Drosophila melanogaster: one gene and its partner. The gene in region 2 interacts genetically with the main gene of each other region. Each region holds a gene or a part of one and is shown on either strand. Other genes may lie near its edges.

Region 1 (5,133 bases), 9.9 Mb from region 2:
ACTTAAGTTGATTGCAAATGCAAAGAAACGTAATTTGTAAAAAGTGCTTAGATTTGTGATCTGTCATTTTATTTCGTAAATGTCCTATGATTTCATGATTGCTATTATTCATTCATTGAATTGAGTTGTCGTGCCAAATAATCATACACATCCGAAATAAAAATCGCGACAGTTTTATGCCTACACACCAACTGGAAACGAGGCTATAAACATAAATATATTGCTCATACGCCCCGTGTTCACCCCTGCCGAATGAGTTGGGATCCGTAACGAAAACAAACAGAAAGCGGACGAAAAAAAATGGACGCCAAATACAAGGTAGCAAAAGGTTGTGAGCGCACACACTGGCACACATGTTCCTGTACTGTACTGTACTTACAGCAATGGCGTGCAGCGTTTGCTTCTCTTTCGCTACTTTTGCTGCTTTCGCTGCTGCTGTTTCCATTGCTGCGTTTATATGGCCATAAGGCTAACGCTATTGTCGCGGCAGGTCTCTCAGGGGCAACATGGGGAGGTCGTTGCGACAGCGGCAACATTTGGGTCTTATTAATTTCCGTTTTGCTTATTTATTTTTACGACGCCTCGCACAGCTCGCCATTCGGTTCGCAGTTCTGGGCCCGTCAGCAGCCGAACCGCCGAGCCATCCAGGTCCCCAAATTCTAACGCAGTCGCCATAGTCAAAAGAACATTCGTAAGGAATTCCACCTTTAAAGCCCCGGTGATACCCTACGATTATTTAGAGAGGCATATTACACAACCGTAGATGGGGAGTACTAAAATGTTAATTCATTGCTTAATTCGATTGCCTTAATTTGCTGCTTTAGCTTTGATTTAATACATGAATTATAATAATAGAAGAGAAGAAGATTACTTTAAATTAGGAAAACTGATTTATAATTAGAAAAAAAAAACTACAAAATATTATTATTTAACTTTTTAAGTGAAGTTTTTATGGCGCGGTATTAAAATATGTATAGGTATTAAAATAAAATGCATAAGTGACTTGAAAAAGTTCGTAGGCGTGATGCTGCATAGAGAGCCAAGTAAAAAGGCGCAATCAACTAAATCAAAATTATACAGGGGAAAGCCATTTATCCGGTAAAACACATACCAATTAAGTTATTTTTAAAAGCTGACTTCAATGCGATCAAAAGCTTTCTAGCCAATTTGAGTTGGAATTGGCGATGTACTTCTCAAATTTGGTTTTGAATATAAATAAATATATATATTTAAATAAAATGTATATGTTGAGATCAATACTGTACTTCAACGCGTGAATAATATCATATTTTAAGCTTAAGAAATTATAAAACAATACAATTTTCAGAAATAAAAGATTTGGCCACGTGAACCTTTATTGGGTGTTGAAAATTTATATTTTTTTGCACCCCGATCTGCTAGTAATCACTTTCCCTAACGGTGCTTATTGTTAATAGACTATTTTCCAAGCATAGAGTACAGCAACTTGTTTCCAACCGACTTAACAGGGGCGTCAAAAACTTATGCGCTTGCTTGTCTAAGACAGCGGGTGGTAGAGGAGGGGGTGTGGGTGTGGGCTATACTAACCAGCAATGCCTCTACACCACCCTCCCCGCCAAACCTTTACACCCCCTGCGAAATGCGCCACTGCAACGAGAGGAAGATGGGGAACATCGGAGAGCGACAGCGAGAGAGAGCGGCGCAGTTGTTATCGCCTGGCCAGTGTTCCACTGCCACTCTGTTCCTTATCCTGTGCACTTTCTTCCTTATCTGTCCCGCTTTCACCGCCCTCGCACTCGCCACTCTCACTCTTCGTGTGCATTTCGGGTGCCCTTCGTGTCGCGACAATCGGCATTTTTAAAGAGGCAGTCGGCCAATGTGGCAGTCGGTTACTGGCTCGCAGGTTAGTCTTTCATTATCCGGCGTTTGAGCGTGTAACGTTTTCTCCGTGATTTCCACACGCAGCAGCGGTAAATACAACAACAACGACAACGAAAGAAGCAACCAAAACAATAACAACAACAATAGAAGAGAACAGCGGCAAACGGTTTTTCGCTGCGCTTCTCCTATTTTAAGTGCCGAGCGTTTTACTATTTTTACTACACAGCGAAACATACACAGATACACATATATACAGAAATATATGTAGGTATTTGTTGATGTGTTTGTTGTGCTTCAGTCAACAATAAAAACAAAAACAGTGTTTAAAGCTAGTGAAATGATCTTCCATAAATAAATTTTCAAAATTAATTTGAGAGCAAAAATGAATTGAAAGAAAATGCCAAGAAAGTGCAGCAAAAAATCAACAACGATGCTGTCGGAGAGTCGAAACTAGGCTAAATATCTTTGCATACTTTTGGGAAAGTTGTGCGGTACAAACACACACACCCGTTCGTAACACACACACACAGGACCTGCGCCTGCGGTCGCCGACTTTTGAACCTGTTTTCTGACCATTGACCATTGACCACCGACCGCCGTGCCGGCCGCCTCTTTTCACTTTTGGCAACGCGGACTGCAGCAGCCGCTGCAAAAAATGCAACTGTAAAGGAAGCTGCAAGAAAAGGAAAGGATGTGCACGAAAACGGCATAAACCTACAAAACTAGCCAAAAGAGTTCAGAGCGGTGCGGTTCAACAGCCTCCGGGTGTTCGTGTCAAGCTCGAAATTCGCAAATTCGGCGTCAGCTTCGTGCATCTGTATCTGTGTATCTGTATCTATATCTGGTGCATCTGTGTGCGGCCATTCTGCAGTTGCAGCTCTGCAGCGGCGAAAATTGTGTCAGCAGCATCGGCAGCGGATCCTGCAGCTCGCCACACTGGCGCCTCCATCTCCGATTGCCGGTAATGTATTCGTTTTAGGCGCATTCTACCCAAGCACGACTTAATCATACGCCACATGTGAAGTGCCGTGCGGTATGGCTAAGGCATTACGCATACGCCCCGTGTATGTGAGTATGAATAGTGCGGGCGGTCTTACCTTGACAACGGACGGGGGCAGTCCGTGACAATTGTCAGTTTGTTTTCCCATTTTCGTTTTTCTATCGATTAAGCCCACTGGCCCCTCGTTCGCCCTTTGTCTGCGAATTAGCGACAACTTCTGGGCCAAGCAGCATATGGCTATGTCCACCGTCTTTGTCTAACGCCTAATTGAGTCTTTTGTGAGTATCAAGAGACGAGCAGCACCGCAGAAGAAAAGAAAAGCAAATGGGGAATCCAGTTGACATCGGCATAAGTTCGAGTTTTAAGTTCCCTTGTGGACAGCTGGTTTTTGGGCTTTCTCGACTATCACATACCATAACTGCAATGGACTTTTTTTGGATCATTTTTCAAATTCTGGGCGTTACATATTTTCTTGATCATGATCGACTCGGCTTGTGATCCGGAAATGTATTTACTGTAGAGGATATAACTAACTATAAATAAAGCTGTATGGCATCCTAGCTTTGATTCTTACACGCTGTAAGAAACGAATGTCAGTAAGGGATATAATGTTAACATTCCAAAAGGCACGTCTCCCATATGAACATATAAAGTATATTAAGACTCCCAAGAAAAAGTAAAGAACTTCGCCAGAAAACGTTAGGCTTATGATTTCAGATTTCAGAGCATTAAACCACAAATGATTATTTATATGAAGTATATTTTACTGTCCCGCTTAGATGAAATTTTTCGCTTATACTGTAGACAGTGCCTAAAGTATCATGCCATCTGATAGGGTATCCATAGAAAGGAACCAAAGAAAACAATCAACACGGAGACTAGTAAACAATTGAAAAGCAAAAAACCCGCGACTCCTGCCCAAGTCGGCCAGCCCCTTGAGTTCTTTTTTCATTCATAGGACGATGGGTGGTAGCATTTGCCTTTGTCAATATCATTCAAGCTTTCATTCGCTTCACTTGCCTGACATTTGCTTACCATTTCAGTTTAGAGTTCACTTTGTTTCCCTTTGTACAAATAAATAGCCATTTATTCATTCACTCGGTTAAGGGGCTCCTTTTCACTGACCAATGAATGAAGGAAGGTCGTCCCATAAGTATTTGTCAATTGGACACAAGTTACAATGGAACTCAGTTTGGGGCTTTATATCTAATCAAACTAAATGGCAGCCATTAACTAGCTAGCTTAATCAAGTACCCAACATCAGCATGACTCGAAGCACTCAAAATGCTCGATTTTCTGATTCTGATAAGAGGAATACCTCGGGTAATTTAAAATTGAGTATGCAGCATATTCAGCGAAATGCAGAAAATCCAGATGAAACAAGATTTTGGAAAATTCATTTAATTTATGGCTCCGTCAATTAAAAGCAACAGACCACACAGCCAAACCGCAGTACAGCTCTCAGATGAAAATTCAGCGCTTTAAAGGCTTAGAGAAAAGTGGCAGGCACTCAAAAGCTTAGGCCTTGCATACGTAGCAGCCGCAAACAGTGGCGAAAAATTCTACTTTTTTCCATTTTCGGTGTGTGGGGCGACCAACTTTTCTAACTAACAAAAAAATAAACCGCGCACATGTGTACACAAAAGAAACTCGACGAAGAAAACTGCAAATATGTAACAAGATTCGGTCATGTTTGATTCATGAAACCAGCAGAAAGTTCCAGCCCCTCACCCAATTGAACAACAATGGTGAAATAAAGTTACAGTTGCTGTGGCCACGGCAACTGGAAGCCAACATTTCGCACAATGGCGCAGAATCAGCAGCTTTAGCAGCTGCCGTGCTTCCGGAAAAAATAGAGCCCCAAAAAGCATACTTTCGAGTGTAGAGTTTATGCAGGATTCCGTTGCAGCAGAGTTAATCATACATACGTCCTGACAGTAACAAATCTCCAGCTACGAGGCATAAATAAAAAAAAATTCACCCAGCTTCGCTTTACATATTTTCCTGTTAGATTTACCGTGTATGTGGGCATCAAATTGCGCATACGCCCAGTAAGCCGTCCAGATGGGCAGATCTGCAGGCAATTTGATTATGGCCAGCGAGGCATAAAGAACGTAGAGAAATGCTGAAATAGGGCTTACTTCTAAGCCAGCCAAGTCGAGCATAAAATGCAAGCAGAGTTTGGTGGAAAAAAGGAAACGCAAAGGACTCGATTGCTCAGTTTCTCGGGAACGGCAATTAAATTGCGATGGCGATGATGGCGGAGCCGGAGA
Region 2 (7,835 bases):
TAAAAGGCGTACTTTGTACTTTGTCCGACTATAACTTGGCTTGGCTGAATTCAAAGACCCAAACAAGCAGTCGCTTCTAGAGTAAACAAATTTATGAATGACATAAAAAAGCGGATAAAAGCAGAAAATTATCTCGCTCTTGAAACTCCGAAATTAAACGTTAGTCCAATGATTTACTGCTTCACTTATAAGCGTGTTAATTGCCTAAATTTCCTTCACTGCTGAACTTGATTACTTGTTCTTTGGCGGCGGTCCACTCAATTGCCATAATATCAATCTCGCAGCCAGACTTCAAGTGTCAAGTGCAGTGTCTGGCTGCAATTAACCCTCTACTACCCCATGGTACCTCGCCTAAGGTCACATAAACCTTAAATTCAATTCCTATTTAATCGAGTGCAATTTAATATTTCCACAATTTTTGGTTCTAAGTACCAAGTATTTCAGCAAGGTCTCAGTGGGTTAATCTCCGTCAAAGAACCGAAATGCACGGCAGGCGTTGCAATCCACGGTCAACACGACAGGTTTCAGGTTTCCTTCTAAGCCCCTGAACAGCCAAATCGTTGGTTTTGACACAGATATAGCCATGTTATGGCCGTATTGGCCGGATCGGCGCTTGCATTTGGCATTTCGTTGGGCAAACACCACCAGATGACCTCGACTTTCAATCGCTGTGAGAATGTGTCTGGCATTCTTTGCGAATGTATCTTCAGACGATTCTCACACAGATCTTGATACGCACCTCGGAATCGAGAATTACACGCCGATAGGCATCGCGAGAAAAATCTACTAGCCGGCCATTACGAGTGAGATGCATTTTCCCCAACATTTATGCCTGCGAGCTTTACATCTGGGCAGGCTCACATCAATTAACCCGCAATTACAATAGAATTTAATCATGTGCCTGCCAGTTCACGTCGCACAGTTGGCCAAGTTGGCCAAAGGGGGGTTAAGCGATGGGGCTGGGCAAAAAGGGGCGTATTAATAACCGCGCTAAGTTCAAGAACATCGCTGATGGTTATTGTCATAGTTTCGTCGCGGCAATATGTAATTAAATCTGCGGATTGCAATCGATTATAAATACATTGTGAGGCATTTGCGGGTGGCGAAGGCTTTGTTTGTTGATTGAGTGAGTGATTTAATAAATTGTTCCGACTTTAGGAGCAATAATTTTCTTCTACGATAATTGAAGTTATAATTTGAAGGACAACGTATTCAAGTACTCCATGTACTTAACACCCTATAGAAAGGTGGCCCAAATCTAATAGTTTCATATCGGTTACTTAATTGTTTATTATACCATTTTAAGTTTAATGATTTGCTGACCCCATTTTATGATAGCTTCCTCGGAGGTTTTTATGGCTTTTTGAAAGGCAAAAACAGATCTCTGTTATTAACAGAGTGCGGTTCGAGTCCATGCTCCCCCCTGATTGCTAAGTATACACTGGGTTGGTTTTATGCTAAAAGCATTATCCAAGTCTTGCTCCATAAGTATCGTTAAATAAATTTAACAATAATTCAATCGCTGACTGGTCGCACTATTATATCGCTACGGTATATATTTGACGAAACAGACGGCGGCCACACTACAGACAAATAAAAAATTGAACCAATCGTTGCAATTGCACTTCAGTTTTCGTTCAGAAATAAATACGTAGCTGCAAATAGAGGACTATCTCCGCCGACATTTAAGAAGTACAGTTAAAACCGGGAAAATGGAGAGAGCAGGCCTCTTGGCCGTTTTGGCACTGTGCTGCGCCTTTGGTGAGTGGAGAAGAGATGGAGAGAAGTGCGAAAAGCGACGTTGAAAGGGAACCACAATAATAGTTTAGTCATAGCTTATTGCGTATTCGTGCTGTGCACTCTGTTCCTCAACCGTTGCTCTCTTTGTTTGTTTGCTTTCTTGCAGGCGTCTTCGCCGCTGCCACGCCCCTTTTGGGCTCCAGCAAGTGCACCTGGGGACCCTCCTACTGGTGCGGAAATTTCAGGTGAGTGCAAAAAAGTGGGTGATACAATAAACGGTATATTCGGATAAATCGCTTGGTCATCGAACACCACAAAGTTCTCGAAGGCGAAAAGCTAACCTCTCTTAACCCCCCTCCAAATAGCGATATTACTTCTCCGCCTCACTTGCCCATTGTTTGCAGCGAAGACTCGTCTGTTCTGTTTTGTTCTCGGCCGATAAGACTATCACTCGAATCGGGAATCGAATCACTTTGCTCTACATAGCTCTATTCGCCGATAACCCCTGTTATTGCAAACTTAACACTAGTGCCGCTCTAATTGCGTCCCCTTATTTTGCGTTGTATTGTTTTACAGACTCGATGTTTTCTCTGAGTGCACTTTTCGCAATACTCTCTGCCTTCATATCCCATATTTCTGGATTTCCTTTGTCTGCACATTCGCTGTACAAATCAAATTAACAGTACCGCCAGTCGGAACATTTAGACGGCAGAGTTAAGCGCTCGTAGGGGGCACAACTTTATCGACACCGATTATATGCATGAGTAATCCAGAGGAGCAGATCGTTTTGACACAGCTCCCTTTTCTGTGCACCGCCAAACAAACCACATGATTGCTTTGTTTATCATTGTTAATTCGCTGTAGGCGGCAACAGTTGTTCCTTATCAACGAATTCTGACTAATCCCTCAGGCGTATGATGAGTACAGGGGAACATCCGAAAGTGCAACTTCTAAGCCTTAACACAATCACAATGCACTTGAAACCCTTATCTTAGCCATACTCACAATTGTAAATTCCTCAATGGAGTGATATTACATTGCGGCCACAAAGGATCACCTTACAGAAGCTATACTGTACGTACATATGTATGTATGTTACACCAAGATAAACTTGAAAACATTTACATGGACTGCATCATTAATAGAGTAAAAGCGATCAATAGGCAACTGAAAACATTTGTTAAGCACCCATCCATCGCTTATCGCTAGTCGTAATTCCTTTGTTTATTGATTGATTTATTTTTAAATGGCCAGGAAAATCCGCCATTTCTGGCTCTTAACCGTTTCTTTGTTTCTCAATTGCAGAGTGTCAAAAATTAAAAACGTCGCCATTGCTGTTGAAAATTCAGAAAACAATATCTGTGAATGCGCAGCCAAGTGAATAATATATACGTGGATACGTCCAGATATATCATTCATACATATGTACTGTTTATTTCCGTGCTTATCAGTGCTGATTTTTTGCTATTTAGACGCTTTTGTTTGGTATTCCTGGCGATTCCACCGCAGGCGTCTCTTCATGTTAATGGAAATTAGCACTTTCCGTTCGAATCAGTCAAATCGATTTATATTGAACAAATATAGGGTTACTTTCCATCAAAGTGTTGTGCTTTAAATGCTATTTGCTTATATGAGATGATATGGGCTTTGATTTAGTCAGCATAAGTTTGATGATTATTAAACCATTTCGTTCCGTCTCGGATGTTCAAAAATCAAAATTATTACCAGTCCAATGCTTCGTTGTATTCATTGAAGACCCAACATTATCATGTGAGCTGTGGGTGCATTCTTAAAGTGGATAGGGGACTACTCCCTTTTTAGTGGACTCTGGTCTTTGCTGACTCGTCGATTCTGGCTTGGCCACTCGATTACGAATGCGGGTCATTTGATCCGAACAGCGGCATTTCGCACAATCAGCTTAGTATCCGACTGCTTACTCTGATGGGTTTATCTTAACAGCAAAAAAAAAGTTTGCTAACTTTATGTCTGCTTCCTTTCCAGCAACTCCAAGGAATGTCGTGCCACCCGCCACTGCATCCAAACCGTTTGGGAAACCCAAAAGGTGCCGGTGGACACGGACTCCATCTGCACGATATGCAAGGACATGGTTACTCAGGCCCGCGACCAGCTGAAGAGCAACCAGACAGAGGAGGAGCTGAAGGAGGTCTTCGAGGGCTCCTGCAAGCTGATTCCGATCAAGCCGATCCAGAAGGAGTGCATCAAGGTGGCCGATGACTTCCTGCCCGAGTTGGTCGAGGCCCTGGCCTCGCAGATGAATCCAGATGTGAGTTTTCACCTCTACAACACATCCTCCTAAACCTTTTATTGATATATAAAATGTTTCCCTTCAATCCTCAGCAAGTTTGCTCTGTGGCCGGACTTTGCAACAGTGCTCGCATCGACGAATTGTATAAGAACGGCATTCAGGCTGGTCTTGATGGAACCGTCCAGAATGAAGATGACAGCTCCGAGGAGACCGAGTTGGCCATGCAGCCTAACCAACTTTCCTGCGGCAACTGCAACCTGCTTTCCCGCCTGATGCACTCGAAATTTGCGGCTACCGATCGCGATGACATGGTGGAAACGATGCTTCATATGTGCGGATCGCTATCTAGTTTCTCAGACGCCTGTGCCAACATTGTGCTCACCTATTTTAATGATATCTACGACCATGTGAGCAAGCACTTGACCACGGATGCCGTGTGCCATGTGTCCGGAGTGTGTGCCTCCAGATATCACCAGCATGAAGAGGAAAAGCAACCGCAAGAAGCCTTAGTTGCCTTGGATGCCGGCGATGATATTCCATGCGAACTATGCGAGCAACTAGTAAAGCACCTTCGCGACGTCTTGGTGGCCAACACCACTGAAACGGAGTTCAAGCAAGTTATGGAAGGATTCTGCAAGCAGTCAAAGGGATTCAAGGACGAGTGCCTTAGCATTGTTGACCAATACTACCATGTGATTTACGAGACTCTGGTCAGCAAGTTAGATGCCAATGGAGCCTGCTGCATGATCGGCATTTGCCAGAAGAACTCCGCCTCCTCGATGAAGGATGTCCCAATCATGCCGCTGCTGCCTGTTATTGAGCCGGCTCAGGTAAAGATCACCATCGAGAAGCTGGAGAAGCACGAGAAGAAGCAACTGGGCGCCAGTGAGCCGAAGTTCAGCCAGCAAGAGATCCTGGACATGCAGCTGCCCATTGATCACCTAATGGGTGCAGCTAATCCCGGAGCTTTGGTCGAGGGTGGAGAGCTGTGCACCCTGTGTGAGTACATGCTGCATTTCATTCAGGAGACTCTGGCTACCCCCTCCACGGATGACGAGATCAAGCACACCGTGGAGAACATCTGCGCCAAACTGCCCTCGGGAGTTGCCGGTCAATGCCGCAACTTCGTGGAGATGTATGGCGATGCTGTGATAGCTCTGCTCGTCCAAGGACTGAATCCTCGTGACGTGTGCCCCCTCATGCAGATGTGCCCGAAGAATCTGCCCAAGAAGGAAGATGTCGAAGTGTTCAATCCCCAGCCAGCCAGCGATGAGCAGGATCCCCCAACTTGCCCTCTGTGCCTCTTTGCCGTTGAGCAGGCCCAGATGAAGATCCGCGACAACAAGTCCAAGGATAATATCAAAAAGGTTCTGAATGGCCTTTGCAGCCATCTGCCCAACGAGATAAAGGAAGAATGCGTAGACTTCGTGAACACCTATTCCAATGAGCTGATCGACATGCTGATCACAGATTTTAAGCCGCAGGAGATCTGCGTCCAACTGAAGCTCTGCCCAAAGACCACTTACGCTCTCTGGGACTTGCGCATCTCGCTGGAGGACGATGTCGATGGTGAGGACAAATCCAGCAGTGAGGAAATCAGCTTCAATGACATTGAGTCCCTTGAGGAGCTGCCCCCTCAGCTGGCCTTCGACCCAGGATTCACCGCTGCTCCGAACTGCCTGATCTGCGAGGAGTTGGTTAAGACCTTGGAGAAGCGTATGGGCAAGCACCCCACCAGAGACAGCATCAAGCATATCCTGGAGGAGTCTTGCGACCGAATGAGGAAGCCAATGAACACTAAATGCCACAAGGTTATCGACAAGTACGGCGATAAGATCGCCGATCTGCTGTTAAAGGAAATGGATCCCAAGCTTATCTGCACGGAGTTGGGAATGTGCATCCTGGCTGATCTGGATGATCGTGAGTATTAAATTCTAGAGCTACGTTAAGTATACGTTTAAACTAATGAATTTCATTTTCGTAATACAGTCGAAGTGGATGAGGCTTTGAAGTACGACGTGATTGCTCTGCCGCGCCAGGACAACAAGCTGTCTAGCAGCATCAAGGAGCCGCCCACCTGCGTCCTTTGCGAATTTATCATGACCAAGTTGGATGCCGATCTAAAGAATAAGACCGAACAGGACGACATTAAGCGAGCGATTGAAGCCGTGTGCAATCGCCTGCCAGCCACGGTGCGCAAACAGTGCGACACCTTCGTCGATGGATATGCCTCTGCGGTCCTGAAATTGCTGAGCGATGTGCCGCCCAAGCAGGTGTGCCAGAAACTGCAGCTCTGCTTCAGCGTGGCCGTCACCGATGAAGTTTTGGAGTGTGGTGTGTGCCATGGAGTCACCCAGGCTCTGTTGCCCTTCCTGCGCGAGAAGAAAGATAACGTATCCGAAGTGACAGCCCTACAGATGACATCGGTGGGATGCGAGAACTTGCCAGCCAAGTACTACAAGATCGTATGTAACTTACAATCCTGAATGTTATAAATATCTATAAGTTCCTTTGCGTTGCAGTGCTCTGAGATGATCTCCATCTATGGCAGTAGCATTAAGAACTTGGCCAAACGACCCTATATTGATCAGTCGCATATTTGCGCCGAGATTGGCAAGTGTTTCGAAAGCGAGAAGTCTTCGCTGGCCTTTGCTAGAATTTCAGGTAAGCTATAGGTTGAAGGACCCAAACAATACATTTACTAATTTACTATCTTCAACAGCCTAAGTGATGCGTTGTGATGTACGAACCAGGCGCGGAGGATTTGAAGGAGAAGGGACCCGATCCCACGCTTTATATATGCATATACCTTTACATATATCTGTTTACATTCTATAACGATTTACTGTAAATGAAACATAATTACTTACTTTTCGTTTTGTACCCCGGTTTTTGGCTCTAAATTTGTTAGGTGAATTTGTGATGAAACTGAATTTATAAACGCACTCAAACGCCGGCTGAAAAAAGTTAAACTTAACTAAACTAACACTTACACTAAGCAGTACCCTTATCGTAATTTCAACATAAAAATTAGCGAAATTCACGAGCCGCAAACTTTGTATCGATATCCCCATGTGTCCGAAGTCATTTGAGCAGTGTGTGTAGTTTAAGATATCAAGCAAAACTGTGTAAAATACGAACATTGATCTTATAAATCATACAGAAAACTTAAACCGACATAGTAGCACATTATTGAAAATTCCCAATTCCCCTTGGAATAGTATATATTTTCTAGCCGACATGTTTGAGAACTCCCTGTTTATCATTAAGCCGGACTATCTGCACAAGCGGCGTCCGGTGCTCTTAAAGTTGCTGGCCGAGGGCTTCCAGATTCAGGGTAATCGACGGATTGCCTTTTCGCCAGAAACTGCCGCCGAGTTCTATGCCGATTATGCCGATGAAAAGGGGTTTATGCTGGAGGTCATTCTGCTTTCGAAGGGTGTTTCCGAGGCGTTCATAGTTACGAAGGAAAACGCCGTGCAGGAGCTGCTCAACATCATGATTTGTTATTTGTGAGTTTGCTTTTAAAATAAAATAATAAGTTCTCTAGGTACAATTTGACTTTAAGTGGTTCGGCATCGGATCTGGAACGCAATATCCATGTCACCAAGAACAGTTACAGCGTGGCTCGTGAGATAAACTTTATTTTTCCCAACTGTAAGTAGCGATACAGAGATTAATAAAGTAAAAAATAATATATCGAATTTTTCAGATATTCACGAGCCCCATCAAATGTTCGACCACAACAACTTCTGCAACAGGCCGATGCTTAAGCCGCTGCTCGAGGAGATCTACGACATAATGCAGAACACCGACTGCAGCCAGGAGA

The links.
Region 1: of Sap-r (region 2) and Calx, changing one enhances a phenotype caused by changing the other (phenotypic enhancement), as found in Drosophila melanogaster (one study listed by BioGRID).

Annotation. Positions count from the first base shown.
Region 1 is NT_033777.3:20,976,300-20,981,432, forward strand, and holds the start of Calx (Na/Ca-exchange protein), read left to right. Parts: upstream 1-1,883; 5' UTR 1,884-2,821; intron 2,822-5,133. UniProt on the Drosophila melanogaster protein: Na(+)/Ca(2+) antiporter that couples the energy of a Na(+) electrochemical gradient to the movement of Ca(2+) against an electrochemical gradient across a membrane, which contributes to the regulation of cytoplasmic Ca(2+) levels.
Region 2 is NT_033777.3:30,882,811-30,890,645, reverse strand, and holds Sap-r (Saposin-related), read left to right. Parts: upstream 1-1,583; 5' UTR 1,584-1,712; coding exon 1,713-1,761; intron 1,762-1,819; exon of another isoform or gene 1,820-1,906; coding exon 1,907-1,985; intron 1,986-3,741; coding exon 3,742-4,024; intron 4,025-4,098; coding exon 4,099-5,926; intron 5,927-5,995; coding exon 5,996-6,471; intron 6,472-6,528; coding exon 6,529-6,670; intron 6,671-6,728; coding exon 6,729-6,733; 3' UTR 6,734-7,182; downstream 7,183-7,835. Other genes in the region: CG15547 (uncharacterized protein), read left to right, coding at 7,247-7,518, 7,575-7,663, 7,719-7,835.